Oryctolagus cuniculus: one gene and its partners. The protein of the gene in region 3 interacts with the protein of the main gene of each other region in a biochemical or structural test. Links are inferred from orthologs where the notes say so. Each region holds a gene or a part of one and is shown on either strand. Other genes may lie near its edges. The genes, in order: ANKRD13B, ZFAND2B, UBC, AP2S1, PLAA, BIRC3 and TOM1.

Evidence for each region.
Region 1: the proteins of UBC (region 3) and ANKRD13B form a complex in vitro, tested with the Homo sapiens proteins (3 studies listed by BioGRID). The link is inferred for Oryctolagus cuniculus from reciprocal best matches to the Homo sapiens genes UBC and ANKRD13B.
Region 2: the proteins of UBC (region 3) and ZFAND2B form a complex in vitro, tested with the Homo sapiens proteins (3 studies listed by BioGRID). The link is inferred for Oryctolagus cuniculus from reciprocal best matches to the Homo sapiens genes UBC and ZFAND2B.
Region 4: the proteins of UBC (region 3) and AP2S1 form a complex in vitro, tested with the Homo sapiens proteins (2 studies listed by BioGRID). The link is inferred for Oryctolagus cuniculus from reciprocal best matches to the Homo sapiens genes UBC and AP2S1.
Region 5: the proteins of UBC (region 3) and PLAA form a complex in vitro, tested with the Homo sapiens proteins (2 studies listed by BioGRID, with this or other methods). The link is inferred for Oryctolagus cuniculus from reciprocal best matches to the Homo sapiens genes UBC and PLAA.
Region 6: the proteins of UBC (region 3) and BIRC3 form a complex in vitro, tested with the Homo sapiens proteins (3 studies listed by BioGRID, with this or other methods). The link is inferred for Oryctolagus cuniculus from reciprocal best matches to the Homo sapiens genes UBC and BIRC3.
Region 7: the proteins of UBC (region 3) and TOM1 form a complex in vitro, tested with the Homo sapiens proteins (9 studies listed by BioGRID, with this or other methods). The link is inferred for Oryctolagus cuniculus from reciprocal best matches to the Homo sapiens genes UBC and TOM1.

The regions. Positions count from the first base shown.
Region 1 is NC_091448.1:45,053,113-45,057,567, reverse strand, and holds the start of ANKRD13B (ankyrin repeat domain-containing protein 13B), read right to left. Parts: upstream 3,007-4,455; 5' UTR 2,992-3,006; coding exon 2,611-2,991; intron 1,678-2,610; exon of another isoform or gene 1,184-1,677; coding exon of another isoform or gene 1,070-1,183; intron 1-1,069. UniProt on the Homo sapiens protein: Ubiquitin-binding protein that specifically recognizes and binds 'Lys-63'-linked ubiquitin. Does not bind 'Lys-48'-linked ubiquitin.
Region 2 is NC_091434.1:20,257,041-20,261,295, reverse strand, and holds the start of ZFAND2B (AN1-type zinc finger protein 2B), read left to right. Parts: upstream 1-1,391; 5' UTR 1,392-1,935; intron 1,936-2,055; 5' UTR 2,056-2,077; coding exon 2,078-2,132; intron 2,133-2,383; coding exon 2,384-2,478; intron 2,479-2,695; coding exon 2,696-2,827; intron 2,828-2,931; coding exon 2,932-3,083; intron 3,084-3,315; coding exon 3,316-3,408; intron 3,409-3,484; coding exon 3,485-3,545; intron 3,546-3,629; coding exon 3,630-3,697; intron 3,698-3,879; coding exon of another isoform or gene 3,880-3,901; coding exon 3,902-3,974; intron 3,975-4,113; coding exon of another isoform or gene 4,114-4,134; exon of another isoform or gene 4,135-4,211; coding exon of another isoform or gene 4,212-4,255. UniProt on the Homo sapiens protein: Plays a role in protein homeostasis by regulating both the translocation and the ubiquitin-mediated proteasomal degradation of nascent proteins at the endoplasmic reticulum.
Region 3 is NC_091452.1:5,126,993-5,131,016, forward strand, and holds the start of UBC (polyubiquitin-C), read left to right. Parts: upstream 1-1,224; 5' UTR 1,225-1,589; intron 1,590-2,043; exon of another isoform or gene 2,044-2,212; intron 2,213-2,358; 5' UTR 2,359-2,361; coding exon 2,362-4,024.
Region 4 is NC_091449.1:10,588,079-10,591,081, reverse strand, and holds the end of AP2S1 (AP-2 complex subunit sigma), read right to left. Parts: intron 1,409-3,003; coding exon 1,295-1,408; intron 1,009-1,294; coding exon 949-1,008; intron 843-948; coding exon 741-842; 3' UTR 538-740; downstream 1-537. UniProt on the Homo sapiens protein: Component of the adaptor protein complex 2 (AP-2). Adaptor protein complexes function in protein transport via transport vesicles in different membrane traffic pathways.
Region 5 is NC_091432.1:190,185,262-190,189,056, forward strand, and holds part of PLAA (phospholipase A-2-activating protein), read right to left. Parts: intron 1,314-3,795; coding exon 1,156-1,313; intron 430-1,155; coding exon 210-429; intron 1-209. UniProt on the Homo sapiens protein: Plays a role in protein ubiquitination, sorting and degradation through its association with VCP. Involved in ubiquitin-mediated membrane proteins trafficking to late endosomes in an ESCRT-dependent manner, and hence plays a role in synaptic vesicle recycling.
Region 6 is NC_091432.1:94,052,946-94,056,198, reverse strand, and holds the end of BIRC3 (baculoviral IAP repeat-containing protein 3), read right to left. Parts: intron 1,663-3,253; coding exon 1,408-1,662; intron 1,154-1,407; coding exon 1,112-1,153; intron 988-1,111; coding exon 794-987; 3' UTR 533-793; downstream 1-532. UniProt on the Homo sapiens protein: Multi-functional protein which regulates not only caspases and apoptosis, but also modulates inflammatory signaling and immunity, mitogenic kinase signaling and cell proliferation, as well as cell invasion and metastasis.
Region 7 is NC_091442.1:112,916,764-112,920,558, forward strand, and holds part of TOM1 (target of Myb1 membrane trafficking protein), read left to right. Parts: intron 1-1,286; coding exon 1,287-1,420; intron 1,421-2,791; coding exon 2,792-2,825; intron 2,826-3,157; coding exon 3,158-3,251; intron 3,252-3,755; coding exon 3,756-3,795.

The DNA of each region.
Region 1 (4,455 bases), on a different chromosome or scaffold from region 3:
AGGCAGGAGGAAGGGGGTGGATGCCCAGCCCAGCCCAGCCCAGCCCAGCCCACGTTTAGGGAGACTGCATGAGGCCCCTGGCCTGGGTACTAGGGGGTGAACCTCCACCTCCCTGCTTCCCTTGGGAAGCCGGCTGCTGGGTTGGCCCTCAGTGGGTAGCAACTCGGAGCTACCCACTCCCAGCCCAAGTCGGGAGGTCTCACCCTGCAGCAGACTGGGCCCAGCTGTGGCTCCTGCTGCCCTCCCTGCAGGGTGGGTCACCTGTGCCATGGGTGCCTACCTGTGGCCTGGGTGCCAAGGACAGAACTGGGCACAGTCTGTGACCTGGGCTTGCCTTCGTGCTGAAGAATAGCCAAGAGACTCCACCTTTCCCTGCTCCCTGAAGCTGGCTGACCCACCCGGCCCCACCGCGATCTCACCCTGCAGAACCGCCAGTCCTGCCTGCGGCCGGGGCCCCCACCCCCCACCCCCGCCTCCTCAGCACCAGCCGCCAGGAGAGCGCCTTTCAGCACCTGGACAAGGCCCCTTCGGGGACTCGTGGAGAGAGTGCCTCTCTCCCCGGGCTGGGGGCTGAGGGATCCAGGGGCTCTGCGCTAAAGGGCCGGAGGAAGCGCTCACCACGCAGGGAAAGGGCACTGGGTGGGGCCGGGATGCCCGGGAGTGTCACAGCCTGGCCCCCAATCCTCGACCTGCGGGCCTTTCCCACCTCCGCACGCTCACGCGGGAGGTGTCGCGGCTCGACGGAGTGGGGCGGACCCTCCCACCACAGGGAACACACACACCAAGCGGGCCGCCCCTCCCTGCAGCCCTCACTGCCCTGGCCCAGGAGGGGGCACGGCGACCCTAGCCCGGCTCCCGGAGGGTGGGGAACACGTGCGGGCCGCCCGCGTCCGGGCCGGTGGGAGCGGGTAGGGGCCGCTCCCAGTCAACCAGCACAAAAGCCACGGCTGCAAACAAAGAGGCGCCGCTAACTCGGCCGAGAGGCGGGACAGCCCGCGCCGCGCCCCTGCCCCACGCCGGACGGGCGTGCCGGGCCGCGGGGTCCCCGGCGCCCCGACGGCGCTCTTACCTGGCCGGCGCGGACCTCCTTCTCTAGCTCGCGGTGGCGGTTGTGCCACACGAGGTAGTGCAACGGGTACTTGCCCTCGGGCCCCTTCCTGGCGGAGGCGTTGGCGGGGATCATCGCCCGCTCCTCATGCCGGGGCCGCCGCGCCCGGCCCGGGAGGGGGGACGGCGCCGCAGCCGGGGCCCGGGGCCGCGGGGCGGGCGGCGGGCGCTGCCTGCTCGCAGGGCTGCGGCTCGGGCATGTGCGAGCGGCGGCGGCGGGCGGGGGCGGCGCGCCCGGCGCGGTGCAGGCGGTGCGGGCGGCGCGGGCGGCGGGCGTCCTCGCGAGGCGGCGGCGACGGCGGGCGGCGCTGCGAGGCCCCCACCCGCCCGGGGAGGGAGCGGGCACTCGGCGGCGCGGCGCGGAGTGGCGCCTCGCCTCCCACACCCCCACACACAAAGACTCGGCTCCGCGGAGAGAGCAGGCACCCGCAGCGGGGGCGCACGGGGTGCGGGCCCCGGGGACGCCGCCGCCGCAGGGACGCGCGCCCGCAGCACCCGGCTCCCCGCAGCCGCATAGCCCGGCCCTCAGCCTGAGCGGCCGGCCAGGGACGCGGGGATGCGGGGGAGAGAGTGGGGATCCGAGTGCCCCCGGCAGAGAGGGTTACAGCTAGGCCCCGTGGCATCATGGGACTTGTAGTCCGCCTGGCGGAACTGAGGGTGGCAGGTGTCGGGAGAGGGTCCCGCACTGGGTGGCCCTGATCCCATAAGGGTGAGCCAAGAGGTAGGCCCGGCCAGAACGGAGGCGGAGCCCGGACTCCAGGTGGGCTGGGGCGCACCCCCGCTCGCTGGCTTTCTGCCACAGGCCTCCCTGGAACGTGCCTGGGGGCGGGGGGGGGGGGTGCGGTGTGGCCTTCATAACTGAGCTTGGTCCCAGGGGCTGTAGAAAGAGATCCGGATTCCCAGTAGCGGGTGCCTGATGGGGACTCCCGAGAAGGCGTGCGGGACATGGAGCAGCCAGGGACCTGGCACCTGGAGTGTTTCCTAGGCGTCTTCCCCCTCTTCTTAGAAAATCCAACTCCGTCTTTACGGACGGCACGGAAAAGAGAATGTCCCATTTGGCCGGGAGAACACAGCCTTCCCTCCACACCCTGGCCTCCACAGGAGCCAGAGTGAGGCTGGGCAGAGGAAGCAGCAGGTGGCAGCTGCCCACCTCCGCCCCTGGTCCCAGAGACCGGGCGCAGAGGTATTTCCAGAACGGCCCCTGCAGAGGGCGTGGTAAGAGTGGAATCTGCCTCCCGAGCCACCAGTTGCGAGGGCAGGAAGGACTGGAAGGAGGGACCATGATGTCACAGATACCGAAATCCCAATACCTCCTTGCCCACCGTCTGCCCTTAAGCAAACGGCCTGAATTCTCTGTTTCTCGATGCACTCACCTCTAAAGTGAGCCTGTGGGTACCACGTCGTGGGGGTGAGCTGAGGACAGTAATTGCCCTGGAATAGGCGCCTCCCCACCACCCCCACCCCCACCAGGCGGACTGAGGCTCGGCGCTTTCCCGAGCCCACCTTCGAGCAAGGCGAGGGATAAGGGATTCCACCGCAGCCCTTCTCGGAACGACGATCCAAGAAGTGTTTTGTGTGGGAGGTGCCAGCAAAAGCTTGCAAACTCCCTGCGCCTCGCTCAGGTTCCTTTGTGTGGTCTCTCCTGCCTGCTGCACACCCTGCGGTGGTGCCAGGCCCGGGCGGGAAGGGACGAGGGCGGAGCGCGCCGCCTCGCCCCTCGCTCCAGCCGGGGAGGAGCCAGCGGGCGTCGCTGCAGCGCGCGGGCGCTGCCCGCCTCCACCACCAGGGGTCAGCAGAGGGTCGTGGCTGCGGCCGGCGTTGGGGAGGGGGCTCCGGAAAGGAGGGGCGTCTGTCTAGGAGCGACCGCGAGAAATGCCTGCACATTTCCTCATTAAATTGTCCTTAGAACCTTGTGTGTGATTCTCCTTCAGCTAACCTGCTTCGTGGGGGTAGTGACATCTCCACAGGGAAACCCAGAAGCGCTTTTATCTCCCTGAGCCCGGAAGCCTCGCCGTCACAGGGCTGGGGCTTCAGGGACAAAGTTTGTGGACGCCGCGTCCGCGCCAGGGCCACTCCCAGGTTGTCCCCAGGGCATCCTGGGGATGGGGGAGCGGAGCGAATCGCCCTTCCTTCCCGGGGGCGGGCAGCTCCCGGGCTCGGAGGGTCCGTGCCCGGGCAGCCGGCTCTCCCTGCCAGGCGGCCCTGAACACTCCACCCAGGTCGCCTTCCCCTCGGCCCGAGCGTTGCGGCGGCCACGTGCTCGAGACGCGCCCACACAGCGGAGAAACAAAGCCAGCCGAGCGGCAGGGCTGCCAGCAGCCGCCTCGACGTTTAATAAATGAAATTCCATAGCTGGGGGTCGATCGGGGGTGAACGGGCGGTCGCCGCTCGTGGGCTGCGCGCCCGGTACCGGCTGCCAGGCCACTGCTCCCTTCCCCCGTCTGGAGCCTCCAAGCTCACGGGCTCCTGGGTGCGGGCGCAGCGCGGGGGCGGCGGTGGTACCCCCGCCCCCAATACACTTTGCGAGGAATCTAAGCGTGCAGAAGCCCCACCAGCTGAGCGGCTGACTGTTGGGGGGAGGGGAGGCCTGCCAGGGATTTTTTTTTTAAAGGTGCGATTATAAATATATCCCGTGGATCGCTATTTCAAACAAAACTTGTCAATCTGGGCTGCGGCGAAAGGCGATGGAGGCAGCTCTGCGTGTATTTCGGGTGGTGTGACTCATGAGCATTACTTGTTTGCCCTAGGGAAGGGGCCTGCCCACCCACAGGGTACTTCTGGGTACAGCGACCGACTCGGGCACCCCTGCGCAAGGACTCCCCCTTCTCCTAACTTGTTACTGAGCAGGAGTCCCTGATGCCTGAGAAACCCTCCCTTTAACTGTCACCGCGGATCTGGCCCCCAGGCCTGGCCCTGGACACCCCTGCTCTCCCCCACAATCCCAGGGCCCTGCTGCTGCTGCAGGGATGGGGGCTGGGTGCACGCCGGGCACACGTGCGTGGGGGAGCATGCTCAGTGCGGGGGTGCGCCCACGTGTGGCCCGCACTTCGGCTCCTGTCCCCTCCCACGGTCCTCGCCTGCTTCTCCGTTTGAAGCCCCAGAAGAAAGATTTTCCCAGCCCCTGAATATGTTTTAAGCATGCGCTCCGGGTACACACGCCTCCGGTAGCCCAGAAACACGGTGGGAGTGCACGGGGCGCGTGACATGGAGGTATCAGCAAACACAGGCTCAGTGGTCACTGCCGCGTTCTCTCCCCTCCAGATGGAAGCTGCACGCGTGCGGGGAGGGATGCATCTTTAGACACAGGCAGGGGTTACACTGCATGGCCCCTCTGGCACCTGGGCATCC
Region 2 (4,255 bases), on a different chromosome or scaffold from region 3:
CGCTATGGCACAGCGGGTTAGCACCCTGGCCTGCAGTGCCGACATCCCATATGGGCACCGGTTCTAGTCCTGGCTGCTCCTCTTCCAATCCAGCTCTCTGCTATGGCCTGGGAAAGCAGTAGAAGATGGCCCAAGTCCTTGGGCTCCTGCACCAGCATGGGAGACCCAGAAGAAGCTCCTGGCTCCTGGCTCCTGGCTTCAGATCAGCGCAGCTCCAGTCGTTGCGGTTACCTGGGGTGAGAACCAGCGGATAGAAGAACTCTCTCTCTGTCTCTACCTCTCTCTCTAACTCTGTCTTTCAAATAAATGAAATAAATCTTTAAAGAAAGAAAAGAGCTTCTTAAAAAAAAAAAAAAGAACACATTAAGAACACAAATTCTCTTGGCCTTGATTCCTAATTCCCAGGAAAGAATATGATTGGGCAAATGCAGCAGTTGCACCTGGGGCCCTGTGCCGCATCTGCCAGGCCCATCTCTGACTTCAGCTACTGCTTCAGGCTTCTTCTCTTATTAAGACCAGACCTCTTGTTCTTTTTAATAGGCCCAGTGTTTGCTCAGGCCCAGTGTTTGCATCTCAGGGTTTTCCTTAAAGCTTCTGTAGCGCAGACTACTTGCACAAAGGTGCATCTGGCACAGTGCAGGGCTTGGCCCATGACCCCATCAAGGCAACTGGGTACAGTCAGAGCTGGGACGAACCTGCTTGAGGAACCAGGAGACAGGCTTTAGAGTTGTGACTGTGTAAGAAGCAGACACAGAGGGAACAAGAGCCAAGAGTTGGAGATGGACGGAGAGACAGAAAGAGGGGGAGAAGGGTTCCTCATCTCCAGCTGTGGCCTGGCTTCCCTCTCCATTCTGGAGGACACTGTTCAACTCCGAGCTCATTTCACCTGGTTACTCGTCCCCATCGGCAGACTCACGGGGAGACGGAGCGTGACCAACCCTGGGCAGAAGGGACCTCAGACATACGAGAGGTAAAATGTGCTGAGCCTAGAAGGCCTCAACCCAGAGCTACTTAGGGTAAAGCAGGAGGACTCTCACTCCTAATCCAAGAAACACTAAGCACTGAGAATATTCTAGATTTTTTTAATTCAAAGTATGGCATATGCGCAACTTGTCTGGATTCCCTCAGGTGCTTTTACTGTATGAGGAGCCCAAGAGCCCCGGAATCTGCATTTTAAGTTGAGCCCGTAGGTAATCTGAATTCGCACTGGAGTCTGAGAACCACACTGCTCAAGGCACTGCCGGGATCCAACAGAGCAAGGTGGATGCGTGGATGCTGTCCCGGCATTCCAAGGGTATTCATGCATGTGTATGTGCGCACGTGCCTGTCAGCAGACTACTATAATGAGGTTAATATGCGTGCTGGAATAGCCACAGGGAGGTCGCCTAGCAGGTGCACCTCGTCCAGACAGGAGATTCGGGAAGTCTCACAGGAAGCGCCTCAAAGCTGAAATCTGGAGGCACCTGCACTGCAGAGAAACATGGGGAGTTGTCAGCCCGTAGACGGTAAACGCAGCTTTGGCTGTCAACGAAGAAAAATGACCAGAAGATGCACAGAGAGGGGAGGGGGCAGAGAGAGAAGCGGGCCAAAGACCGAATTGTAAAAGACTCCAAACCATCTCATTTCCTCCGACCCTAAGATTTCACCTGCGCTGGACTTCGTCAGCCCCTTCGCCCATCCCTCAGGCCTCAGGGAGACCTTCCGCGGAGCTGAGCCCGCGCCTAGGACTGCGGAGCCGCCACTCCCGCCGCCTCAGCGCTGCAGCGCCCCGCCCAGCGGAGCCAGGAGGGGCGGGGCGCGGCTCCGCCGGGACCGCCCCCTGAGGGGGCCTGGATACGGCGCAGGGCGCGCCCGCTTTGCGTGGTGACGTCAGAGCGCCCGGGCTGGCGCCGAGGGAGGAGTGGGAGCCGAGAGCCGGCAGGCGCTGAGACTCCGGTAACCCGGGCTGGGCGGGGGAGAGGAAGGGGCGGGGCGGGGCGCCCCTCGGAGTGTGGAGTCGTGGTCGGACCCGGAACGGGAGCCCTAGAGACGCTCAGGACTCGCCGCTTCTCCCAGCAGGCTCCTGTCCGGCCCGGCGATGGAGTTTCCGGACCTCGGGGCTCACTGTTCCGAGCCAAGCTGTCAGCGCTTGGGTGAGGGCAGGGCAGGGCGGGAGAGGGCTTGGAACTGCAGGTGGAGCGAGACGGGTGGGCTCCGGGGCTGGAAGTACCAGGAAAGGGCGGGGCGCGAAGCCGGGGGCGGTGGCCGAGGGGGCGTGGCTAAGGAGATCGATCGTGGAGTCACGCAGGGTGCAGCGTGGGGCGCACCGGCGGTGTTTTCCTTCCCTGGCGAGGGCAGGACACCGAGGTCCCGCCGGGCCTGCAGTCTGACCCCCTCCCTGCAGATTTCCTGCCGCTCAAGTGCGATGCCTGCTCGGGCATCTTCTGCGCAGACCATGTGGCCTACGCCCAGCATCACTGTGCATCTGCTTACCAAAAGGTGAGGGGGCGATCCCGAGGGTGGAAGGGGGCGGATGGAGCGTGCACGCACAGCCCCCCGAGTCCGCTTGCCTCGCGCGTCCTCTCCGTGTTCTCCTTCCTAAGGCTCAGTCAGTGCTGGGGAATATTGTGTCTTCTTGTGCATTTGTCTGGGGGCATGTCCAGGTGCTTTCGGGACGAGGGAGTTGTTGCGCTGATTCCCACCCCCTTGACTGTAGGATATCCAGGTACCGGTATGCCCACTCTGTAACGTGCCGGTGCCTGTGGCCAGAGGGGAGGCCCCCGACCGCGCCGTGGGGGAGCACATTGACAGAGACTGTCGCTCGGATCCGGCACAGCAGAAACGGAAGGTGAGCGGGTGGGGGGGGGGGCGACCCTGCTGGGACGCCTGCGCGGCGGACTTCTGTAATGCGGGTGGGGTCTGAGCAGAGACAGAGTTTCCCCTTCCCCTCAGATCTTCACCAATAAGTGTGAGCGCCCCGGCTGCCGCCAGCGGGAGATGATGAAGCTGACCTGCGAGCGCTGTGGCCGAAACTTCTGCATCAAACACCGGCACCCACTGGACCATGACTGCTCTGCGGAGGGGCGCCCGACCAGCCGGGCAGGGTAACGGCCACCAAGTCCTCTATTTGCCTGTGGCACTGTCTCATCCTTTTAGAACAGACTCAGCCTCTGTCATTGCAAATTAGGAACCTTCAACCCTGTCCCCAGTGGCTGGGGGGGGTGTCTTTTAGCTTCCGGTGCATGTTTGTCCAGGCTGCAGAGCAAGTCCCTCCCTCCCCTGCCCCTGGGGGAAGCTCCTTCTTGGAGGTTTGCCAAGAGCGTCTCTTCCCTACAGACTGGCCGCCATCTCCAGGGCACAGGGCCTGGCCGCTTCTGCCAGCACCGTCCCCAGCCCGAGCCAGACCTGGCCTTCCTCTACTCCCAGCAGGTAGGCCCGCCCATTTCTCCTCCCCTCCCTTTCCCCTTCTCATCTCTGATCTCAGCCTCTTGAATGTCTGCCATAGAGCCACAACCCAGTCTCCATCCCGGACAGCCCCTCCAGTGGTTGCTTTGCAGAATGGCTTGGTGAGTTGGGCAGAGGTTGGATGGACAGGAGTCCCATGCAGTGCTTCAGCCCTAAGGAAACTGGTCTTGTCTCTCCCTTCGCAGAGTGAGGATGAGGCTCTGCAACGAGCCTTGGCATTGTCCCTGGCAGAGACCAAACCCCAGGTCCCCAGGTACCTCCTCTCTGCTGAAAGAGGGTGGGCCGTGGGCAAGGGCTGTTTGGAGGGAGGTGGGGCCGCTCTGACCCGATGCCAGGTCATAGTTAGGACACGAATACCCACCGTGTGAGGCTGCTATGGGGATGGAGAGGGTACCCAGAAGGGCTCAGCACTGTGGCGCTTGACATGAATTTTAGATGTCACTGTTCCTCGTCCCAGTTCTCAGGAGGAGGAAGACCTGGCTTTAGCACAGGCACTGTCAGCCAGTGAGGCAGAGTACCAGCGGCAGCAGGTGTGAGCCGGGGTGCAGATGGGGTCCTGCCCTGGAGGGAGGCAGAGGGGTGTGGGTGTGGGTGTGGGTGGCGCATGTGTGTGCTTGGGGGAGGGGGAGGGGGTCTTCTAAGGGGCGGTGGTTCTCCTTTTGCTTTCAGTGTGCCTCCAGCCCATGCTGAGCTCTGAACTGAGGGCTGTCCCCTCATCTCCTTGACTTCGCACCCTGTCTTCCCTTCTTCCCCTCTCCTTGCTCCAGGCGCAGAGCCGCAGCTTGAAGCCATCCAACTGCAGCCTGTGCTA
Region 3 (4,024 bases):
GCTGGCCATCACCAGGGTCTCCCGCTAGCTTGGGTTCCTGCTCTGCATTTTAACCCCCCGGGCCCGGGCATTCCTTGTTTGGGGGTTTAAGGGGTGGAAAAGTCCTCTAACAATGCTCAGGTAGATCTTCCCAGATCCACACAGCCGCAGGTTACCACAGCAACCACACAGCGGTTGTTCTGCCGGGGCTTCTCGGTGACATGACACTTGTAAAACGGTCTTCCCCTCTAAGGAGGGGCTGTGGTCCCGCCTCCGCCCCATCGTGGCAATGGAACATTCTAGAAGAGTCGCACAGCACAGCGTGGGGAGGGGGGGACTCGGGGCACGAGGGGGCAAATCCACCGCTAACGTTTAAGAGCCTCCAGCTCACCTGCTGGTCGACGCCACGATTCTCCCAAACACCAGGACACGACCCCGTGGCTGACCGTGCCCCTCCCCCTTGTGATCACAACGCGAGGTGCGCGTTTCATGCATCGGATCCCGGAAACACAGAGCGCAGCTTCGGTTCGCGTCCGTAAAAAGGCCCAGGTTAAAGCCCGGGCCGCACCAGGCGCCTCCGGCGGCGGCTTCCGGGGAGAGCCTGGGCGGCCGCGACCAGCCGCAACCAGCCAGCGCTGTCGGGGTCCGCCGTGGCTCCCCGCGGGTCTGCGCGCCGGCGGCCCGGGGCCGGGGCCGGGGCCGCGGAGGCGAGGGCAGGATGTGTCCAATCACCGGCCCGGCCCCCCACGAGACCACGGCGGTCACCTCAAACGCGACCCCACAGAAAGCCCCCTCGAGGTCACGGGCCGGGGGGACAGAGCGGGCCGCGCGCGGGGAGGCCCGGATGTGCCCAGTCACGGCCCGGCCCCCACGAGACCACGGCGGTCACCTCAGACGCGACCCCACAGAAAGCCCCCTAGAGGTCACGGGCCGTGGACACAGTGGGCCGCGGAGGCGAGGCCCGGATGTGCCCAGTCACGGCCCGGCCCCGACGAGACCACCGCGGTCACCTCAGACGCGACCCCACAGAAAGCCCCTCGAGGTCGCGGGCCGGGGACAGAGCGGGCCGCGCGCGGGGAGGGGGCGCCGGGCCGGAACCCCCGCGGGCCGCCCACCGACGGGCCGCTGCGGCCGAGGGGACGGGGCGCGGGGCGGAGCCGAAGCCCCCGGCCGCCCGCCCGCTCCGGGCGCCGCCCGGCTCCGCGCCGGGTCTTCCCGCCGCCCGCGCGCCGGCTCCCCTCCCCCAGGGCGGGCGCCCGCACGTCGGCCGCAGCACGCAGCAAACGCCCTGATCCCTCCGCCGGGCCCCTCAGGGCGGCGGCCCCTCCCCTCCCGGGCCCGGCGGTACCGCCCCGGGCTCGACCCGAGAACGTTTTGTGAGGGGGCCGACGGCCCCGGGCGCAGGGTTCCTTCCCGGAGGGCGGAAGAGGCTGAGGAAAGTAGTTCCTTCTCGGCGTTTCTGCGGAGGGATCTCGCCGGGGCGGCGGCTCGCCGTCGGACTATATAAGCGGGCGCCGGGCGCGGCGCAGCCAGTTCCGTCGGAGCCGGAGTTCGGTCGCCTTCATCCTGCGTACAGCTGCCGCCGCCGCCGCCGCCGCCGCCGCCGCCTGGTGAGTGGACCTCGTCGTGCTGGCCGGGGTGGGGGCGGCCCGCGGCCTCTCGGCCGTGAGGGAGGAGGGCGGTGCGGCTGCCCGCCGCGGGCGGGACGCCCTCCCGGGCGGGTAGTCGGCTGGGGTCGCCCCGCAGGCGGAAGAACCGACAAGATGGCGGCGCCGCCGAGCCGGGAGGTCAGGGTGCAGGGCGGACAGGGGCCGGAGAGCGCCGAGCGCCGCGAGGGTCTGAGGAGCGGAAGGCGGCGTCGCCGGGCCGCGTTTGGAGACGTGGGGGAGCGGTGTGGCGGGGCTGACGGGCAGCGCTGGGCCCCGGTTAGGGGCTGGGGAGTAGGGAGGCGCCTCGGCGCGGGGCTGCTCCAGCGGGTGGGGGGCGGCTCGCGCCGTGACGTCACCCGCGTGTTGGCACACAGAGCAGGGCGGGGCTGCCTCCCGGTGTGGGTGGCGTCGGTTTCTGTCAGTTGCAAGACACACGGTTAGGGCCTAGGCGAGATCCTGCTGAGTGGACGGGAACGCGAGCCGGAAGGGGGGAGGGACGGAAAAGCCCTGAGTTCACTGGTCACGTTTCCCTGCTTTCTTCATAACGAAGGGTCTGAGGCTGGGGTTTTGAAGTAATTTTTCAGGTTTGTGTTTGGTGTCCTTTGGAGTTCCTAAGCAAGTTATTAATTTTAATAGTGTAGATAAATAGACGATATTCAGTCTTTAGGAATATTAGTGAATTGTTTGCTGAATTTTTTTTTGTTTCTTTTTGTGTGTTTTCTCATAACAGACAATGCAGATCTTCGTGAAAACCTTAACTGGCAAGACCATCACCCTCGAGGTGGAGCCCAGTGACACCATCGAGAATGTCAAGGCAAAGATCCAGGACAAGGAGGGCATCCCCCCTGACCAGCAGAGGCTGATCTTTGCCGGCAAGCAGCTGGAAGACGGCCGCACCCTGTCCGACTACAACATCCAGAAGGAGTCCACCCTGCACCTGGTGCTGCGCCTCAGAGGTGGCATGCAGATCTTCGTGAAGACCCTGACCGGCAAGACCATCACCCTCGAGGTGGAGCCCAGTGACACCATCGAGAACGTCAAGGCGAAGATCCAGGACAAGGAGGGCATCCCCCCCGACCAGCAGAGGCTGATCTTTGCCGGCAAGCAGCTGGAAGACGGCCGCACCCTGTCCGACTACAACATCCAGAAGGAGTCCACCCTGCACCTGGTGCTGCGCCTCAGAGGTGGCATGCAGATCTTCGTGAAGACCCTGACCGGCAAGACCATCACCCTCGAGGTGGAGCCCAGTGACACCATCGAGAACGTCAAGGCGAAGATCCAGGACAAGGAGGGCATCCCCCCCGACCAGCAGAGGCTGATCTTTGCCGGCAAGCAGCTGGAAGACGGCCGCACCCTGTCCGACTACAACATCCAGAAGGAGTCCACCCTGCACCTGGTGCTGCGCCTCAGAGGTGGCATGCAGATCTTCGTGAAGACCCTGACCGGCAAGACCATCACCCTCGAGGTGGAGCCCAGTGACACCATCGAGAACGTCAAGGCGAAGATCCAGGACAAGGAGGGCATCCCCCCCGACCAGCAGAGGCTGATCTTTGCCGGCAAGCAGCTGGAAGACGGCCGCACCCTGTCCGACTACAACATCCAGAAGGAGTCCACCCTGCACCTGGTGCTGCGCCTCAGAGGTGGCATGCAGATCTTCGTGAAGACCCTGACCGGCAAGACCATCACCCTCGAGGTGGAGCCCAGTGACACCATCGAGAACGTCAAGGCGAAGATCCAGGACAAGGAGGGCATCCCCCCCGACCAGCAGAGGCTGATCTTTGCCGGCAAGCAGCTGGAAGATGGCCGCACCCTGTCCGACTACAACATCCAGAAGGAGTCCACCCTGCACCTGGTGCTGCGCCTCAGAGGTGGCATGCAGATCTTCGTGAAGACCCTGACCGGCAAGACCATCACCCTCGAGGTGGAGCCCAGTGACACCATCGAGAACGTCAAGGCGAAGATCCAGGACAAGGAGGGCATCCCCCCCGACCAGCAGAGGCTGATCTTTGCCGGCAAGCAGCTGGAAGACGGCCGCACCCTGTCCGACTACAACATCCAGAAGGAGTCCACCCTGCACCTGGTGCTGCGCCTCAGAGGTGGCATGCAGATCTTCGTGAAGACCCTGACCGGCAAGACCATCACCCTCGAGGTGGAGCCCAGTGACACCATCGAGAACGTCAAGGCGAAGATCCAGGACAAGGAGGGCATCCCCCCCGACCAGCAGAGGCTGATCTTTGCCGGCAAGCAGCTGGAAGATGGCCGCACCCTGTCCGACTACAACATCCAGAAGGAGTCCACCCTGCACCTGGTGCTGCGCCTCAGAGGTGGCATGCAGATCTTCGTGAAGACCCTGACCGGCAAGACCATCACCCTCGAGGTGGAGCCCAGTGACACCA
Region 4 (3,003 bases), on a different chromosome or scaffold from region 3:
GGCTGCTCCACTTCCCATCCAGCTCCCTGCTGTGGCCTGGGAAAGCAGTGGAGGATGGACCAAGTGCTTGGGCCCCTGCACCTGCATGGGAGACCCAGAGGAAGCTCCTGGATTCGGATCAGCGCAGCTCTGGCCGTTGGGGCCATTTAGGGTGTGAACCAGAGGATGGAAGACCTCTCTGTGTCTCCCTCTCTGTCTGTAATTCTACCTCTCAAATAAATAAGTACAATCTTAAATCCATCAATGGAGGTCCTGGCGGAGCGCGCGAGGAACGTGTGTTATGAAGGCTTCTGCAGGCGCTTCATCACCGCCGGCACCGACATAGGCTCGGCTGGGGGGCGGGGCAGCAGGGGCAGTGGTTGAGACGCAGCTGGACCCCGCACCCCGCAGCCCCAGCTCCGGCCGCCGCACCCCCAGGGTTCCCCATGCGGGGAACAGAGCCTGCGAGGACGGCGCAGCTCTGTGGGCACCGCCAGACCCCTCGTCGTCTCCCTGGCGCGGCAGAGGCTGGGGCAGCCCCGGGAAGGCAGGCGAGGCTGGGCGGGACCACAGGTTTATTGAGGGCTCCAGGCACTCGCGCACACACACACGCACACGCACGGCCTCACGACAACAGCACGGCCTCGCGACAACAGCACGGTTCCTCGGGACGCACGCGGTGGCCCCGAGGCAGGGGTGTGGTCTCCTCCCTGGGGCGCCCAGACCCCGCGGGGCCCCTTCCTCCGGGCGGGGGCGGCGCCTCACTCCAGCGACTGCAGCATCAGCAGCTGCTTCAGCACCTTGGTCTGGCTCGTCTCGCGGATCTCGCCCGCCAGGAACATCTCGTCCACCACCGTGTAGACCTGGCGGGGAGACGGCCAGCGCTGAGAGGGGCGCCGCGGCCGGCCCCTCCCGGGCAGCGGGGGCTCGGCCGGACGCCCCAGAGCTGAGCGCGCGCACCCGGCCTACCTTGTAGAAGTTGAACACCAGGTCCAGTTCACAGACGTTATGGAAATACTCGTTTAAGACCTGCAGGGGCGGCGAGGGAAAGACGTGCTCAGGGACAGGGGCCGGGGAGACGCGCGAGGCAGGACGCGGGAGGCGGGCACCGCAGTGGGCAGGGACGGGCACCGCGGCGGGCAGGGCGGCGCGGACAGGGACGGGAGGCGGGCACCGCGGTGGACAGGGACGGGAGGCGGGCAGGGTGGCGGGCAGGGCGGCGCGGACAGGTACGGGAGGCGGGCACCGCGGACAGGGACGGGCACCGCGGTGGGCAGGGCGGCGCGGACAGGGACGGGAGGCGGGGCCCGCGCACCTCCACGAAGTTGTGGATGGCCTCCAGGTAGGCCAGGTTGTTGTCGTTGACGTCCACGCAGATGCAGAAGTAGAGGCCGGCGTAGCGCCGGTAGATGATCTTGAAGTTGCGGAACTGCGGGCAGAGACGCGGTCAGAGGCTGTCGGCCCCTCCCCTGCGCATGCTCCCCGGGCTCAGCCCTGGGCCGCGGGCCTGGCCCCGGAGGGACGCATCCCCGGGGAGGGGTTGGGGGTGGGTGCGGGACACTTCGAGTCACAGAGGGCTTCCTAAAGGAGAGGCCGCCCGCAGAGACACGGGGAGGCTGAGGGTCCAGGCAGCGGGACGGCCAGCGTGCATGCTCAGGGCACGCCCCACACTCCCGCCCAGCCGCTCCTCTCCCTCGGTGGCTTCCTGTCACCTCTGGAGAGGGGCGGATTCCGGAGCCTGGAGGGCACCTGAGCACCCAGCCCACAGACACCTCCTGAGCACCCGCTGCGCGCCAGGCACCGCCCAGGACGCTGGCCTCGCTCAACCGTAACCCGCGTAAATATTACAACAGGAGCAGGACAACCGGCAAGAGAACACGCCTGGCCCCGGGCGTGTGTGTGTTTGCAAGGAAATAGAGAGACAGACGTAGATAGCGACGTTATGGCGTTGAAAAACACAAAGCCTTCGGCAAAAAAAAAAAAAAAAAAAAAAAAATCAAACAAATCTCCAGCTCCAGGTCCAGGGTGTGCGTCTGGCGCCATCTGGTGGCGGCCCCGAGTGCCAGTCTCTCTCTAAAAAGGATTTATTTATTTGAAAGCCGGAGCGACAGAAGGAGGGGAAGAGGGAGACAGTTTTCATCGGCTGATTCACTCCCCTAATGGCCGCGGCAACCGAGCCTGGGCCAGGCCACTCATGGGGGAGCTCCGGATGGAGTTCCGGGCTCCGGGCTCCGACTCGGTGCGGCCCTGGCTGCTGCAAGCATTTTAAGAGCGAACCAGCAGATGGAAGATTCTGTCTGTCTCCCCGCCCCCGTCACCGTGGTAACAGTGACAGCAGCCACAGGGAACTAACGCGGGGATGAGGGAACACCTATGATGTGCACACAGGAAGGGTGCATGGCGGGTCTCCATCTCATCCCTCCTTCTCCATCACAAGTCCCCTCTTCCAGGAAGCCTGTCTGGGTCTCCATCTCATAAGAGGAACTTTTCTTTTAATGTCTCTTCTCCCTGATTCTCCTGAGTATGTTGGGGGATGAGATCAACTCTCTCTTGTTCTGATTCCATCCCCTCCTCCAGGAAGCCCTCCCTGACCCCTGGGCTGGGTCAGGTACCTGCTCATGGCGGCTATCCCTGTACGGAGATGGCCTATGTCCCTCCTGGACCGGGGCCCAGGAAGGCAGCGCAGGCCATCTCAGCCTCCTCACCTCCGGCCTCCAGCCACAGCCCCTTCCCGCCGCTGCCCCCACCCCTCTCTCCTCCACAGCTCCACAGCTGGTCCCAGCTCTGCCTCCAAAATACTCCTTGCCTGTGCCGGGCCAGTCACCAGTACCTGCCACCCGTCTGCCCGCCCCGGGGAGCCCCCTCCTGAGTGGTCCTGGCTTCTGCCCATGGGCCCACGTTGCCCTGGTCAACCTCCCTGCGGCGCCCAGGCCCCGCGGCACCCCCCTCACACCCCGTCGCCCTCACCTCCCTGCCCCTCCCTGGCTCACTCCACCTGTCCCTGGAGGGCCCAGGGGCACTCCT
Region 5 (3,795 bases), on a different chromosome or scaffold from region 3:
AGATCCAGCTCCCTGCTGATGGCCTGGGGAAAGCAGGAGAGGATGGCCCAACTGCTTGGGCTCCTACACCCACAAGGGAGATCTTGGGGAGTGAACCAGCAGATTAAGAGCTCTCTGTCTCTACCTCTCTCTGTCTGTAACTACATCTTTCAAGTAAATAAATTATTTTTTAAAAAAGTACATAAGACCTAATATAAACATTAATTTACCTGTAAATGGATCTGAAAAACTGGTATTCCCAAGTCCCAACATTTGACCTTTTGTGTTATCAATAATAAATTTAGCCACCTGATCCAAAAACATAGGATTCAAATCATTCTTCTGCAAGAAGTTGTATGCGGTTAACCAGGGATCATCACTGGTATTATATGGCAATTTATATGATGGTCCACCTTCATTGACATCAATTGAGAAAACATAATCAAATTCCTGTAACAGAAATATAGTCAGGAGATAAAAGATTACTAATTAATCTTTTCACATATTTCTTTTCATACATATTAATACATATTAACTCATACATACATATATAACAAATATTATGTGTTTTTCATTTTAATAATTACAGTAACTAAGCTTGCTTTAATGTACAATGCCAAAAACTCTCTGGCAAATAAGGACTAACAGAGACCACTCACATGTGCTGCAAGGTAGTATTTCAGTGGGGGAGGGGGGGTGCAGTGGAATGGAAGATAATTATGACCACATATTAATTCCAGAACCAAAGGAGGGCTGCCAATTGGTTGATCTCAAGGCCAAAAGTATCAGCTGTTACTATGCCCTACTCACCTAAACACGCTGGCATTTAAGTACTGCTCTGCAGTGTCCATCATGTTGTATCAAATTAAATACAGCCAGGCACAAGGCATTAGATGAAGGGTGGCATAGAATTCGTAATCCTAAATGGCTGGGAACTGCTTATGTATGGGAACTACTAAAAGATAATGCCCACTTTATTTATCAAATGCAGCTTTCTATACATGGAAAGATATCCTTTTAGTTAATCCTTTCAATACAGGGGGAAAAGATAATTTTCCTACAGTAATTTATTTCTAAATTTTAACAACCCCCCGCAAAACACTGTATCAGCATTGAGAAAACCTTTAACTTGGCTAATGATTTAAGATAATGATAATTAGAAAGAAATCAACATACTTTCCCTTCATATAAAACTTTTCCAGATGTTTGCTGATTAGCACCAGATGAGCCAACGACATCACCAATTTTTATCCACCTTCCTTCACTAACACTCCACTGATAGGCTTCAACTTTCTCCCCATCTCTGATGAGACGAGTCTGTCCTTCTCTAGTACCTTAAAATAAAAATTTTAAAAATCAAGATAGAATAAAATTCAAAAATATCTATTAACTTAAAAAATATTTTGTTATTTATTTGAGAAGCAGAGAGAGAAAGGAAGACAGTTCTCAATTGTTGGTTCACTCCCCAAATGCCTATAACAAGCTCTGGCTGGGGCTGAAGCCAGACGCTAGAAATTCAATCCAGGTCTCCCATTTGGGTGGCAAGGATCCAGTTAGCTGAGCCATCACTGCTGTGTCCCAGGATCAACACTGGCAGGAAGCTGGAGTCAGGAGCCAGAGACTGTATCGAATCCAGGCACTCCAATAAAGGACAAGGGCCTCTTAACCAACAGGCTAGGAGCCCACCCTTTCAGTTAGATTGATGCATTGGCATCCAAATTCTGCTCTTGGCCCTCTAGGGTATATCTTCAACCAGCAACCATAGAAATTTTTTTCAAAAGTTTAAGTGGGTCTGACACTGTTCGGCATAAAACCCTTCGATGGCTTCTCATCTCTTGGCAAAAGTCTAAATTCTTGCAGTGGTGTACTAGACCAAATAAACTGTCCCTACCATCCCCTCTGGTCTCATCCTCTACTCCTCCTCCCACCCACGTCACCCAACGTCAACCATGAAGCCTTTACACTGCCTATTTATTTTGCCTGTGACATTTTTCACATGATGCTGACAAGTTTCACATGATGCTGACAAGTTTTGCTCCTTTGTCTCCTTGACTTTACTCGAATGTCACCTCAGCAAGGCTTTTGGAAGAAAGCTTAGCTACCTTCCCTCACTAACACTCCGCTGATGGCTGCGACTTTCTCCCCATCTCTGATGAGGAAGCCGTTCTACGGGGACAGCTGTGTTCCTCTTCCACAGGGGAGACCAGTGACTGTCTAACTAGAGACTACTTTACCCAGATCCTTGAACTGGAAGTCTACTGATGTCACATTACTCAGCCATGGCCAGTGGAACGAGGCGAGCATAGTATGTCAGTTCTGGCCTAGTCCATCATCCCCTAATCTCTTATACCTTGTCTCAATCTGGGGCAACTTTTTGGTTTGGTTAAAGTAAATCCAACACACAGCTATGGACTTCAAAAGAGAATTACATAGCTTTTTTCAGAAAATGTGGATGGGGGGGGTTACAAGATTTAGAATCTGCAACTACATCAGTGGATTTTTTTAATGCTCTACTACTTATCTTTTGCCCATGTATGAGTCTGTAACAATATGCCGGTCATTTGGAAAACCATTTTGGGCGACCATTATTGTGGCACAGTGAGTTCAGTCGCTGCGGCAGCGCCAACATCCGATATGGTCACTGATTCCAGTCCTGGCTGCTCCACTTCTAATCCAGCTCCCTGCTAATGTGCCTGGGAAAGCAGCAGAGATGACTCAATTGCTTGGGCTCCTGCACCCATGTGGGAAACCTAAAAGAACTCCTGGCACCTGGCTCCGGTCTGGCCCAGCCCTGGCCGTTGTGGCCATTTGGGGAGTAAACCAGCAGATGGCAGACCTCTTTCTCTGTTGCTCCCTCTCTAACTCGCCTTCAAATAAATAAGTAAAAATTTTTTAAAAATATAAGAAAATACCAATTCACTGACTCATGCAGATTTCCATATTTACACATTTTATTATTCGATATGAAAAACTGCATTTGTTAATATTATCACTATAATCATCAAACATTGGGAAGCTATCAAGCTTCTGGTGGCACATACAAATTTTCTAAATTTCCAATTTACACTTGAAAGCTTGAATTTTATCTTTGGCAACAAATACTGTCAGTTATATTCCTTAAAGTGACAAGCTCACTTTCATAATTTTGAAAAAATGTCTACGAGATACCGAAGCCTGAATAATCCTAGTCAGTCTTTCAAATAAAAATGGTATTTCGCCGGCGCCACGGCTCAATAGGCTAATCCTCCGCCTTGCGGCGCCGGCACACCGGGTTCTAGTCCCAGTTGGGGTGCCGGATTCTGTCCCGGTTGCCCTTCTTCCAGGCCAGCTCTCTGCTGTGGCCCGGAAGTGCAGTGGAGGATGGCCCAAGTACTTGGGCCCTGCACCCCATGGGAGACCAGGAGAAGCACCTGGCTCCTGCCTTCGGATCAGCGCGATGCGCCAGCCGCAGCGCACCGGCCGGGGCGGCCATTGGGGGGTGAACCAATGGCAAAAGGAAGACCTTTCTCTCTGTCTCTCTCACTGTCCACTCTGTCAAAAATTAAAAAAAAAAAAAAAAGGGGTATTTCATTTAAAAAGTTATACTTCAGCCTGCAACTCAAATGACCAAACACACGGTTTTCTTTGAGAAGGCACAGTGTATTTCACATTTTGCTGCACTGAATATTAGAAAGAAAGATGTATATTAAAGTGTCAAGAAGGAATAAAGCAAGTTTTAATGCTTCATCAAAGACTTTCTTCAGGGCAAATGGCAGTGTTTTTAAAAACACAACTGCATGTCAGTGAAGAACACAGTAAGTACTAGAACAATTCAGT
Region 6 (3,253 bases), on a different chromosome or scaffold from region 3:
AGTAAGATGAGGGGCTTTTCCCCATGGGTAGGGATGGCGAGAGACTTCCGGAATGAATCAATAGAAAAATGAACAAATTTACTGAGGAGATGGTTTGATTTTTGTCTCAGGCATCCCATAAAATGCTACAGATGAAAGCCAGGTGTGTTGATCTTTATGCTGTACCATTATAAATGAAGAAACATCTTATAGGAAGGGACCTAAGCTGGGGCTCAGCCCTGAGGAGGTCTTAGGGAAGTATGGAAGTATGGAAGAGGTCTGCGGGTGAAATAAAGGTAGAGAGTAATTTCTATTGCTTTAATAAACTGTTCCTCATGGAATTCCTCAAAAAAAAAAAAAAAAAAAACCCACCATGTTCCTAAAAAGAATCATTCAACAAATATCAAGACTTTCTATGTATAGGATGCTGACTTATACATAAAAAATGCAAGGAATTCCTGTTAATATTCAACAAAAGCCCAAGATATTTAAAATTTTGAAAGATAAAACTCCAATATCTTAAATGTTGCTTCACTTATAATTTCAGTAATGCTGCAGTTTTCACTGAGTATTTTATTTATAATGTTGTCCCTATTTTTTGTTCATAAGAACAAAAGCCTATTATTGTCTTGTTATCTAAAATATGCATGGCCACATGTTCTAGATACATATTTATGTAGGCATATTTCTACAAAAAGTTTTCTGAATTGTAATAAAACATTTACATCAAAATCACTATCAAATCAGTGTAAAAGTAAACACTATGATACATTTAATCCATTAATTCTAAAGTATATCAAAGTTTCAATCTTCTTTATGAAAGAAATGTGCGAACTGTACCCTTGATTGTACCCCTACAAATAGGACATTTTCTTAGAGAAGGGGCACAATCTTTGCATACAACTAGGTGACCACAAGGAATAAACACAATGGACACTTCTTTGTCCATACACACTTTACATGTTCTTTCTTCTTGTAATCTCCGCAATTGTTCTTCCATTGGTAAATCTAAGAGAAGAAAAGAATTTTTAACAGTTATTTGCTTCTCTTCCAACAACAACAACAACAAAAAAAAAAACCAAGAAAATAAAAGCAATGTTTTCTACTGACTTTAAAGTGTTAATGCTATTACCTGAAACATCTTCCGTGGGAATGTACTTTATGTCCTGTTGCACTAAGGAGGGAAAAAGAAAAATCATTACAATGATGAAGCCAATATTATCTCTAGAATATATTTTTAAATGAACAGTTTAGTTTTGGAGCAAAAATATGAATAATATCAAGGTAACACAGTTATCAATCTGTTATACAATTAATGTTTATAAATTAAATTGAATTGTCAAATAATTTTAATAATCATAAATTATTAGTGAAAGACTACTTTCAGTTGATATAGAAAATTCCCAGAAATAATTTTTTAGCACTCACCAAATAAATGCTTGTATAACACAGGGTCAGTTTCTTGTAAACAATCTTTGAATACGGTGGCTGCAATATTTCCTTTTACTAAAATAATATCAATGAGTTCTCTGGCTTGTAAAGATGTTTGTGTTTTCTGTTTAATAACAGCATGTTCTTGCTTATTAATCACTCCAGAAGTTAGAAGACTGTCCAGGATTGGTATCACACAAGTCAAATGTTGAAAAAGTGCCATTCTATTCCTCCGAATTAACGACAGATCATCTTAATAAAAGAAGAAAACAACAAACATGCTTAAACTTTGCTCACAGACTTCCTCCCATGCTTGAATGTAACTGAATGAAATCCACCTTTAATTCACAGTCAGATAGGCACTGATGTTCCTTGCTAGGCTTGGGGGTAGCTGATCCCCTGTGTCTAATAATAATGCTGATTATAAGTTCTAACCTGAACACTGACTAAGCACTTTACATGTGTTAACACATTTCATCTTTACAACAGCCTTTTGAGGTATATGCCTCATTTTAACACATTGGGAAAACGCAGTCACAGTGAGGCAAATAAGTTACTGGGGCTGGCATTGTAGTGCAGCGGGTAAAGCTGCCACCTATAATACCAGTACCCCATATGGGTGCCAGGGCATGTCCCAGCTGCTCCACTTCTGATCCAGTTTCATGCTAATGGCCTGGGAAAAGCAAGGACAGATGGATGGCCCAAGTCCTTGGACTCCAGCCATACACTAGATGAAGAACCTGGCTCCTGGCTTAGTACTGGCTGTTGTAGCCACTTGGGGAGTGAACCAGCAGTTGGAAGATCTCTCTCCCTCTCTCTGTAACTCTGCTTTTCAAATAAATAAATAAATCTCTTTAAGTTACAGAGACAGAGGGAGAGAGAGAGATTTTCCATTTGCTGCTTCACTCCCCAAACAGCCACAGTGGCCAGGGCTGGGCCAGACCAAAGCCAGGAGCCAGGAGCCTCTTCCAGATCTTCCAGGTGCAGGGGCCCAAGGACTTGGGCCACCTTCTGCTGTTTTCCTAGGCACATTAGCAGGGAGCAGGATTGGAGTGGAGCAGCCGGGACTTGAACTGGCACCCATAAGGATGCTGATGTAGCAAGCGGTAGCTTTACACGCTCCGCCACAGTGCTGGCCCCAATAAATCTTCAACAACAATACAAAAAATATAAGTTGTCAAAGGACACACAAGTAGTAGAGGTCACACTGAGGCAGTCCAGTGTCACAACACCTGCTTTTGACCATTCTGCAATTATGCTAAACCCTAACCCAATAAAAGTTAGAGTCTAATAAAACTGAAATTTCAATTCAATCTAGTCAAAAGGGGAAAGGTAAAATCAAGATAATTTTTTCTTAAAATATCATTCTTCCATAAAATGTCTTCAATATTTCACATTAAGTTGAAAGTTTAATCATTTCCCCAAATTCGGCATATTGTCACTACCTATTTTATGATAAGGAGGAAATGGCACTAATATTTTGAGAAATAACCCCCTTTGTCAATGACTACCTTCTTGTCTTACAGGATCATCTCATTCCCTTTGAGATCTAGATTTTCTAATGGTTAAAAAAACCTGTATTTTGAGATAATAATGTTATGATCTCTTTATAATATGACTCATGGATCTATATTTATTAATTATCATATAGTTTATTGTGATCCATAAAGCCATTTTCATAACCTAGTTAATGGCACAAATTGGATCATCTGAAGAATTATTTTAGAAGAGTTGATTATTAGATTTTATTTTAGACACACTGCCTCTATCAAGTAACAGGACCAATAAGTATAACCATCTTTAAAAGTATTTCTTAGTCAAAAGGTCATAGCTACCGATATGT
Region 7 (3,795 bases), on a different chromosome or scaffold from region 3:
GAGGCTGGGGACAGGAGGGGGTCGTGGGGTGCAGTGAGGCAGTCCCCGAAAGCTGAGTGAGGACTTCAGGGAAGAATGGCGCGATTGCAGCGAGCCCCGGGCCACGGCCGTCAGGGATGCACGATTTCGGGGACTGAGAAGGCAGAGTTGACAGGCGACAACTGCCAGTCCCCACCAGGTTGGGGAGTGCTGTGGCTGGGACGTGGCAGAGCTGGGATTCCCACCCGGAGCCCTGGCTCCAAGGGCTGTCCTGCACTTGAAAGGGGCCGGCAAGGAAGTGCAAACAACCACAAGTGGTCAGGGAGGAAGGAAGGGGAGGCCCTGCCCTGCCCCGCCCTGTGCAGAAGGCAGGCCTCCCTGAGGATGCTGGGTAACGGAGCTGCAGGAACCACAGTGAGCAGTCCTGCTGACAGGTAACCAGGGGAAAGACACTCAGTCCAGAAAATCGGAATCCCCTGGCTCTCGATAAATGTCTTTTTTTTTTTTTTTAAAGTCATCAGCGACATGGTGACTAATGTGTGTGGGATCGTGGGACAGAAATGGACATGGAAGAGGAACTGGTGGCACGCAGATACGGTCTGCAGCTTGGTCAGCAGAACTGTGCCGGGGGGCCAGGAACTCCGTCTGTGTCTCTCACGTGGGTGGCAGGACCCTAGTCACTTAAGCCATGACCGCCGCCTCCCAGGGTCTGCAATAGCAGGAAGCTGGAGGCAGGAATCCATTGCAGGCCCTCTTACCCGACTCAGGACGCAGGCACCTCACCCACAAGCCCAAATGCCCCCATCATGGTTTTGACAAATGCCAGCCTGGGTGAAGGGTGTACGGGAACTCTCTGTACCATCTCTGAGTCGAAAATTATCCCACAGGACAAATGTCATCAAAAAAGGAAACAGTAGTAAGGCACAGCTTTGAAGCTGGGGTTTGTGGGCAGTAGTTGGTTTTCTGTGCTTTGGATCCAAAACACCGCAGGGCAGCAGAAAAGCTGCAGACGGCTCAGCCAGCCCACCTCGGAGTCTCAGCATCTTCAGCTTGCGAAGACAGGGGCAGGGGCACAACCCTGAGGTCTGTACACAGCCAGCAGCGCCGTTTAACGAGTATTCGATTTTAGTGTAGACCCCTTGGACGGGAAATTCCAGTTCATGCCTGCCAAACCCCAGAAGCTGTGCCAATGGGACCTCGAAGTCCAGCTTGGGAGCCTCTCCCTCCGCCAAGGCAGGCCTGGGGCCTGGAGCCTGGGCTGCCACAAGTGCGCATGGCCGTGGTCGGCTCACTTCCCTCCTCCGCAGGAGCTGAACCGCACATGCCGGGCCATGCAGCAGCGGGTCCTGGAGCTCATCCCCCGGATCTCCAACGAGCAGCTGACGGAGGAGCTGCTGATCGTCAACGACAACCTCAACAACGTGTTCCTGCGCCACGAACGGTAGCCCCGCCCCGGCCCCGCCCCACCCCCAGCCTGGGTCTCCTTTGCAGAGTCCGCCCTGGGACAGCAGCAGGTGGTGGCCTAGAGCGGGGCCCCGCAGCCAGGCCGGCCGTGCTGTTCTTGCAGGCACCGCACCTCCTGGCCGTGGGCCCCCAGGAAAGTCACCTGACTGCTTCGTGACCGCCAGCCGCCAGAGCCCCACAGGGATCAGTGAGGAGCACAGTGGGTAGTGGTCGGAACCCAGTCGGAGGCGGTTAGAGCCGTGATGCCTCGGCACAAGCAGGCAGCACAGGCCCCCGGCCGCTCAGTGGTCCCGGGTGCAGACACACCTGCCCCATGTCCCCAGGGAGCCGTTATCAGTGAGTGGGTCACCTCCAAACACTTGTCCACCGGGTGTCTTCCTGTCCCCAAGACCCTCGCCAGCTGGCTGGGCTGTGTTGTGCTCACCTGTTGGGAGAGGGAAGGTGGCCCCTCCGGGGCACTCCCAGAAGCATCACGTCCAACAGGGAGAGCTGCCTCCCCGGAGCCCTCGGCTGCTGGGCCTGTAAACAGCGCGCCCAAGGCCGCTGAGGGTCCAGGAAACAATGCTGTCTGCTGCGTGATGCCGCTCGTCTCTGGCATCTTCATCCCTCAGCAGACGCCACTGCGCGGTTCTAAGTCCCAGTGTGGGGCCCCTGCTCGGCTCACCTGCCCGGCCGCTCCTGCTCCTTGGCTCAGCAGAAGGAAAGGGCCCCCTCCCTGCCCTGCCAGGGTGTGGCTGTGTCTGGGGCAGCTGGTCCCCCAACACCCACAGCCATCAGCCGCACCCGTGCAGTGCTTCCCATGGGCTCTGTCTTCACTTGCTCCTCATCACAGCTGGGAGGCGGCTGACGGGACACTAACGTCACAAGTGATGTGACACACCCATGCACAGAGCCGCACCTTGAGCAAACCCAGATTCTCAGCCCAGCTCCCCAGCCCCCTGGCCCTTAAGTGGCTCCACACAGTAGGGTCTTCTGTGCAGCACTCAGGGAGCCACACACTCACACTCACTCACACACACGCACAGATGGGCACACACCGCTGTACCGTGTGCCAAGCACTCCTATTTTCTGTTCTGCTGTATTGCCATTGGCGTCACACTCACCGTGATTAGGGCTGTAGAACAATCTAAACTGGGACACTTTGCAAGTACCAGAGGGACACTGTGCGTAAGTCCTGGGAACAGCGGGCGCCGGCTGGATCTGTCCAGAGTAGAGCCGGATGTTGCATCACCCTGACCGTGACCCCCAACCCTGATGCTGAGACCCTCAATTGGGGAGCTGTGCCGGGGCCGTCCTGGGGGACCCGTTTCCGTCTGTCCCGCTGACTCGGGTCTTTCCTGTCTCGTAGATTTGAGCGGTTCCGAACAGGCCAGACTGCCAAGGTAAAGGCCCTTTTCCGTGCCTGGGTGATGGCAGGTGAGCAGGAGCAGGAGGGCGCTCCCCGCCTCCCTCCCCGGCATCCTCCGCAGGCTGGGGCTGCCTGAGGAAGCAGAGGGGCTGTTCTCACGGGCGCGCCACTGCCCCTTGTGGGCCAGTAAGGCTGCGCCACCAGCTCACAGCCAAGGGTCTTTCCAACCTCCCTGGGGCCCAGCTGAGCTGGAAGTGGGGGAGGGAAACCTCCTGCCCCCAGCCACAGCCACGGGGGACTAAGCCGTGGGGAAGAAAGCCCGCGGGAGGGAGAGGGGGAGGATGACGGGGCGCCTCCCTCCCCCAGGCCCCCAGCGAGGCTGAGCCAGCCGCAGACCTGATCGACATGGGCCCCGAGCCTGCAGCCACCAGCAGCCTGTCATCGCAGCTGGCGGGAATGAGTGAGTGCGGTGTGCAGGGCGCCTGCCGAGGTGGGATGGTGGGGCTGTGGGCGCCCTGCTGCTCCCCACCTGCAGCGGAACATCTGTTAGCGTGCTCCTGACAGATGTAAGCGATACTCGCCCCTGTTGCCCAGGTTGGCTTCAGGTACTGCCTGCCGGCCTCGTGCTGAGCCCTGGGGGTCCTTAGGACCCCATCTTGAGTGGGCTGCCACACTAACAGCATGCCTTTTGAGAAGTCCCTCCCTCTAGCGACAGTGGGCGGCCTTGTCCCTGTTCCCTACTCACAAGAGCCCAGGAGGGAGTGACTGTGTCTCCCCCTTAGAGATGCGTGAGGGAGAGGAAGAGGAGGGTGGCCTGGGCCCCTGGCCAGCAGACGTCCTGCCCCCTCCGTGCCCTCTCTGGCCTGCCTCCTGGCCTGTGTGCTCCTGCAGCACCAGGCCCGGGCTTGGCAGGAGGATACAGGAACAGCGGACAGATCCTTCACGCGGCCTTTCTGCCCCACAGACCTGGGCTCCAGCAGTGTGCGGGCGGGCCTGCAGTCTCT